2 linked regions of the Callithrix jacchus genome follow. The protein of the gene in region 2 interacts with the protein of the main gene of each other region in a pairwise test. Links are inferred from orthologs where the notes say so. Each region holds a gene or a part of one and is shown on either strand. Other genes may lie near its edges.

Region 1 (2,935 bases), on a different chromosome or scaffold from region 2:
TCCTCTGCTTCCCAATCCTGGTATCTGCGCCCAGGGATGTTGGACCCAAAGGGAAGGGGCTCACCCGCCTGAAACATAAGGGGCGCGCTGAAGGGTTCCCAAGATCCCTTCCAGCTCTAACTTCCTGCAATGCTCGGGGCTCCGAGGAAGTATTCTTTGGTAGTCAGAGTCCGAAGATCCCAGAATGTTGTTTGAACTGGGGCTACGAACAGGGGATTGAAAAGCTGAGGCGGGGGACCTGGCGCAGGATGAACAAGACCGGGAGACTTCCAACAGCTTCCTCCTTGACAAGCAGGTCCACGGACCATGTCTGGGGGGCTTCTATCCCCCTTTCCTGTTTCTGCCACCCCCTTCCCCGCGCAGGCGACCGCCTCTCTAGTCCCCGCCTTCCTGGCCCTCGTTCAGCCTGTTTTAGTTTAGAATCGATGCCCAGTGGTCACTCAAGGCTGCTAACCTCCAATCTAAGGCATTAAGCCTCCAAAAGCATATCTAAGAGGGAGGGCGGGAGGAAAGGGACCGACCGCCTCCGCAAGTCAGGACAGACCATGGAAGAAAAGCCAGGAAGTCCAACAAAACCAGCACTGCTCTTTATTGAGGTGTCGGGGTAGAGCAAGAGCATAGCCTGAGGACAGGAAGGTCTGAGAGTTTCTCCGAGAGGAGGGTCTGGGTCCCTGGGCTAGGAGGAGGGCGGTGGGTGACTCGGGAGCTCACGAGACTTCAAGAAGTCCCTGTACTTGGCCAGGAAAGGGTTGATCAGAGTGTTCAGCTCTTGCCGAAGCTCCTGCAGAGCCTTGTCTCGCTCTTGGGGGTCCCCGGTCACCTGCTGCCGGTAATAGTTGATGTAGAAGTTCATCCAGTCCTCCACCACGATCACCATGTCTTCTTCAGAGATAAGAGGGTCATTGAAGACCTGGGGGGTTGCGGAGAGGTAATTGGCAAGGGAGAATGTGGTCAGCAATGGAATTCAGAAAACTCAGAAGAGTCTGGCAACACCAGCTCTCACATCCTCTTTCCTCTGCGTTGTATCCCGCGTCTCTTGCTGTTTCCATCAACTCCACCATTACTTCATCCGCTCCAATTACCCTCTGTTTTCTGCCCTCATCCTCCATCCCCCAGTCTCCAGGCCAGTCCTTTGAAAGGGAAAGCCTGGACTCACCTGCTGATTCAGCAGAACATTGAACTCCTTCAGTCCTGCAGAAATGAGATCCTTATTGGCCTTAAGAAGAGCCATCTGTCTGGGTAGAGAAAAGGGTAGAATTTACATATTCGTTTCCCTCTTCACTGGGTGTTTCTCCCAATCCACCACCTCCCCTTAAAAATCCCTCCTGCCCTGCAAGGCCACCTCCTTTCCAAAACCTCTCACATCCTGCTCTGCTATGAGGTCATGATTTCCCAGGTTAGCATCACCTTCAGCTCTAACAGGCTGTGTATGTCTCACCCACGCTCTTGAGGGTGTGTGAATCTCTTTGTGCCAAGCTATAGATGTAGGCAAGGAGTCGAATGTCAGCCTAAAACAGAAACGCCCTGCAACTAGGTCCTGAAGGAGGGTGATAGGTCATTCTGGGGAGGAGAAGAAGGGAGAGGCTTCCCTGAAGTTAGAAAGATAACAAGGCAAAAAGAAAAGAAAAAAAATACAGATAAATGAGGAAACCAGAAAATGCAAGAGCCAAACCGGGGACATGTCCTTGCCCTTTGCCCCATGTCTCAGTATCCAGGCTCGAAATGCTATGGAAATTGACATTTACTGAGACCCTGTTACATGACAGAGGCTTTGTGTAATCACAATGATATGATGGCAATTACTCTCCTAATTCAGAGATGATGTATTAATAACAGCTTGCATTACATTTATTCATTTGTGCCAGTTTCAAACATGTATAAAAATTTATCCTATAAAATTTCTTTTTAGACACATTTTGCAGATAAGCCATCTGTAAGCATGTAGATCAAACTCCACCAGGCTGCGCTCCACAAGAATGGAAATGAATAGCAGGGCATGGTGGTGTGTGCCTGTAGTCCCAGCTACTGGGAAGGCTGAGGCAGGAGAATTGCTTGAACCCAGGAGACAGAGGTGGCAGCGAGCTGAGATCATGCCCCAGCACTCCAGCCTGGGTGACAGGGCGAGACTCCATCTCAAAGAAAAAATAATAATACAAAATAAAGAATGGAGATGCATTTGTGTTGTTCATTACCATGTCGACAGGTACCCAATAAAGCAGAAATACTTCTTTTTAAATATTTTTCCTAGTATTTTCCATTTTCAGTAGATGTTTCTCAGATTTCAAAGTCACTACATACTAATTGAAATAATTAAAACAATACAAAAATGTACACTGAAAAGTTGTATCATTTTTGCCCCCTTTCAAAGTAAAAAAAAATCTTCCAGCCACGTGGTGTAGAGCCAAAGCTAAAGAGGCCACCCTAATAGTAGACAGGGGCAGCTCCTAACAGACAGGCTCAGACTCACAGGATCTCAGAATGCAAATCTCCACAGTAGAAAGGACGCCTGCCCTAATAGAAGACTGCACTTCTTTAAGCAAATACAGGTATATCCCAGTAGATAAACTGGGGTCATCTGGCCCATTATTTAAAAGTACATCTGTATGTTCAAATTATGTTAGTGGAATAAAAGTCATGACATGAACATTTTCCTTGGAAAGAAACATCCTCTAAATGTCCCCTGCAGCCTAAAACATCCTCTGGAACTTCCTTGAGGCCATGCACATCATGACTGCTACAACTATGATGAGAACCAAGTCTCATTTTCCTACAAGTAAATGGAACAATTGGAGACAAAGGCCTGGGCAGCCCCATTGCAGGTTTCAGGAGGAAAAGTAACATCAGCTAGGGGATTATACTTTCTTCCAGATATTCTTTCCTTTAAACTAATTGTCTTCAAATTCTTTGTCCCTTCTCCCTAGAGAATCTTTGTGTA
Region 2 (3,815 bases):
CTGCCCTTTGCATTGCCAGGACAAGGTCACTCAATCCCACAGTGGGGAAAGCTCAGGCCACTCACCATGCCCCATGTGGGCAGCTGCTGGGACCACGAGGACACAGATGTGCACAAGTGGTAAGGGCCCCTCTTCCTGGAGCCTGCAGTCCCAGCCTGGCTGCCCCCAGATCTAAAGACTTCTAGAGAAACTGATTCCGTTTTTACTTCCAAAGGCTGGGGGCTCTTGCAAGAACAATGGTAACAGCTAACATATACTGAGCATTTCCCATGTGTCGGGTACTCTTCTCAGCACTCACCATGTGTTAACTCATATGACCTTGTGAGGAAGGCACTACTGTCAACACTCTCCACCATCGACCCCATGTTTCAGATGAGGAGCACGTGGCTCAGAGCAGGGCTAACAGAGGTCCCTGCCCGGCCAGGGTGCCAGGAGGGGACAGAGCCAGGACTCCAACTCTGGCTGTCTTGACTCAGAGCCCACAGGCTTAACCACTATGTGGCACAGCCCCTCTGCCACTGGGAATGTTGAAAGAGCAACCTGCCTACCAGTAGGATGAGGGAGGAGCCCCAGATCTGAGGCAGAAGGCTGGACAAGGTGACATCCAGTGACCACTGTTCAGAGCAGGGTTGCTAAGGACAGGAAAAAGTGAGAAAAGAAGGCCGGGCGTGGTGGCACATGCCTGTCATCCCAGCACTTTGGGAGGCTGAGGCGGGTGGATCACAAGGTCAGGAGTTCGAGACCAGCCTGGCCAATATGGTGAAACCCCGTCTCTACTAAAAATACAAAAATTAGCTTGGCATGGTAGTACGCACCTGTAATCCCAACTACTCGGGAGACTGAGGCAGGTGAATTGCTTGAACCTGGGAGGCTGAGGTTGCAGTGAGCTGAGATGGTGCCACTGTACTCCAGCCTGGGTGACAGAGTAAGACTCTGTCTCAAAGAGAAAAAAAAAGAAAAGAAAAGAAAAGAAATGCTAGTCCCTGCTTGAATTCTAGAAGTTGTAGGTCACTCCCAAAGGGTCTCTCCTGGGGGGAACCAGGGCGGCTGGGGCAGCGAGACCATCCCACCTCCAGAGGTGCCACTCACCCGTGATGGGCACATCGGGCCGAGGCTGCTCCTTCCTCCAGGATGGCACAAACACTGTGATGTCTGTGTGGCCCCGCTCCAGAAACCAGTTCACTGCCAGCAGGATGCCCCGGCAGGAAAAGACCTCCTTATTCCCATGGCTGGGAGGGAGAGGAGGACAGGGTTAGCCCACACCAATGGCCAGCCTGCTACCCCCTAGGCCTGAGCAGGAGGAGGGAGGCAGTCACCCCTAACCCTGCCCTGACTTTGGTGAGCAGTAGGGTAGTGGTGAGCAGTGGGGCTCAGGCCCTGGCCTCTGCAGGTGGGGCCCAAGGCCTCCATTCTCAGTGCCAGTTCCCACAGCTCCAGGATGGCGAGGCCCCGCTGGGACTTTCCCTGAGGCTCCTGAAAGTAAGGAAGTGCAGGGAAGCTGGCAGCACTGCTCCCCACGGTGGGGGAGGGCCAGGCCACTTGCAACACACCTGGGGGTGGGGGAAAGGTGCCGGCAGACTTCTGGTTCCTGCCCCACCCGAAGAGCTGCTGGGACCACAGGGACAGATGTACACATGCACACTGAGTCACCACCCCTCCCTCATCTCTTACAGCGAGGGTGGGGGCGGGGGAAGCACCGGGTGGGCTGACCGAGGAGAAACCAGATTGTTCCGGATTAACGTTCAGTCCTCAAACACACCTCAGGGGCTGGGGCCTGAGAAGGGCAAAGGGGAAGGGGCTGGTGACTCCAGCCTTCAGTGTGGCACAGAAAGCCCCGGAGTGGGGCAGGCTCCCCGGCAGCCTTTCAGCCTGAAAGTGAAAGGATACTGCTTTTCCTCCCAGGATGGCAATTCCCCCAAACGCCTCTTCTCTCCAAGGTAGAAAAACCATCAGGAAGATGCTAGGGGCCTCTTAGCAAGGACAGCTGAGTGAGGGGACATCGGCCCTGCCTTGGTCTCAGACCAAGCTGTGCCCCACCCACAGGTGGCTGCACGCAGGACAGAAGGACGTGTGGCGGGGCTCCTGGGCTGCTGCAGCTCTGTTTATCTGAAAATGGGCCCAGCAGTCCACAGTTTAAGAGGGGTCACTTGGCGAGATAGTTTTCAGGGTGGCTTCAGGCCAAAGATGGCCCTGCAAAGTGGGGGTTCCAACTGGATTTCCTGAGGGTGAGGGAACTAGGTGCCATGGAAGAGCTCCTGGGACCAGAGGCCCTGCCTCTCACAGTCCCCTCAGTTAACAGCTTAGACTCTCACATTTGGCAAGTAAAACAGAATAAATGTTACGCAAAAGAGGCAAGTCCAGGGCCGACCACATCCTGTGGGTGTTTTTAATGGTGGGAGGTAAGGGATGATAGCTGGAGCCCTAAGAGAAGGTAGGGAGGGAGGTGGGGCAGCTGGAGGCCATGGAGCAGCCTTAGGGGCAAGGCTGGGGCACCAGGTCTCTAAATTATAGGGAGACAGGCCCTGTGCTAAGTGCCTAGCACTGAATCATCAGCAAGCCTGTGAGAAGGGCACTACGGCATCCCCTTCTTTGTTTTTCAGATGAAAACTGTGGTCCAGAGAGGGTAGCTTAGTCACCAGGGTCACACAGCAGTCATGGTGGAACGGAGACGCAGGCCCAGGGCCTATGCTCATCACCACCAGGTATGGCAATGCTCAGGCAGGTGCAAAGGCAGGGGTACCCATGCTGGTCACAGGGAGCGAGCAGGGATTCGCAGACACCGAGCTCCCGCTGCCTTCATTCTGACAGGGCTTGCTACCGTGAAGGAAAGGAAGGCTATGGGACTGGTCCAAGGTCTGCTGGCTAGTAGTGGTAAGAGACGGTCAGAACTCCAACCCAGGTCTGGGCCACTCGGTTGCCTTCCTGTCTCTAACAGAAGACCCAGAATTATTTGGGAGAACAAAGCTCCCAAAATTGAGTTTGAACAAAGTGTGTTATCAGAGGTGGCGAATGGGAGAAACAATGCCACTGGCAAACTCCTGCTCCTCCTTCAGAACCCAAGTGAGATGTCACTGCCTCTGAGAAGCTTTCCCTGACTTCCCATGATGGGTCAGATCCCTGGTCTGTGTCTTCACAATGCCCAGTGCTTTCCCCATCACATTACCCCCTTCCCTGGGCCTTGTGCCCTGCCTCTCAAAACCATGGCAGCTAGGTCAGCCCATCCAAGGTATGCAGTGTGTGCCTGTATCCACCCACCCGCCTCCCTCCGGGCACATGATCCTAGGCTATATCTTGGAGCCTTGGGAACTAATGGGATGCCAGGGTTCCCAGGGCAGTTTAGTGCCTCTGGGCATTGAAAATCTTGGCTGAGGACAAGTCGGCTCTCAGAAGCCCTAGCACCTGAATATTCCCTCAGCAGATGGAAAAACTGCAATCAGTGGGCACTATCAGAGCCTTCTCTTGGTAGAGCACATGAGCCTGGAGTGCTCCCCTGCCGCTAGCTTTTGTCTCTTTCACTGCACTGAAGGAAGCTCTGCTGGCACAGAAAAACCAGACATCCCCACCCCCACCCCAGTCCTCTTTGCCCGGAAGGTCAGGGTCCCCCAGACTGGCTAAGCCGACGCTGGTAGGATGTGTGTGTGTAGAAGGCTCCAGCTAGGCTGCTCCTGCCCCAGGACAGAGGGCAAGGCTAGGCCAGCCTCCCCAGGTGAAAAGATATGCCTGGGCTGGGCCTGGTGAGTGGAGAAAAATTCCCTTAGAAGGAAACAGAGGTGAATTTCCCCATGATTTGCATATGATGGGGGCTAGCCCATCTG

What was found.
Region 1: the proteins of ZC3H12A (region 2) and AHSP interact in binary tests that used the Homo sapiens proteins (3 or more experiments, as listed by UniProt). The two-hybrid records come from large-scale screens. The link is inferred for Callithrix jacchus from reciprocal best matches to the Homo sapiens genes ZC3H12A and AHSP.

The regions. Positions count from the first base shown.
Region 1 is NC_133513.1:31,026,135-31,029,069, reverse strand, and holds AHSP (alpha-hemoglobin-stabilizing protein), read right to left. Parts: upstream 1,459-2,935; 5' UTR 1,343-1,458; intron 1,236-1,342; 5' UTR 1,232-1,235; coding exon 1,157-1,231; intron 911-1,156; coding exon 677-910; 3' UTR 566-676; downstream 1-565. UniProt on the Homo sapiens protein: Acts as a chaperone to prevent the harmful aggregation of alpha-hemoglobin during normal erythroid cell development. Specifically protects free alpha-hemoglobin from precipitation.
Region 2 is NC_133508.1:74,031,774-74,035,588, reverse strand, and holds part of ZC3H12A (endoribonuclease ZC3H12A), read right to left. Parts: intron 1,230-3,815; coding exon 1,090-1,229; intron 934-1,089; coding exon of another isoform or gene 816-933; intron 1-815. UniProt on the Homo sapiens protein: Endoribonuclease involved in various biological functions such as cellular inflammatory response and immune homeostasis, glial differentiation of neuroprogenitor cells, cell death of cardiomyocytes, adipogenesis and angiogenesis.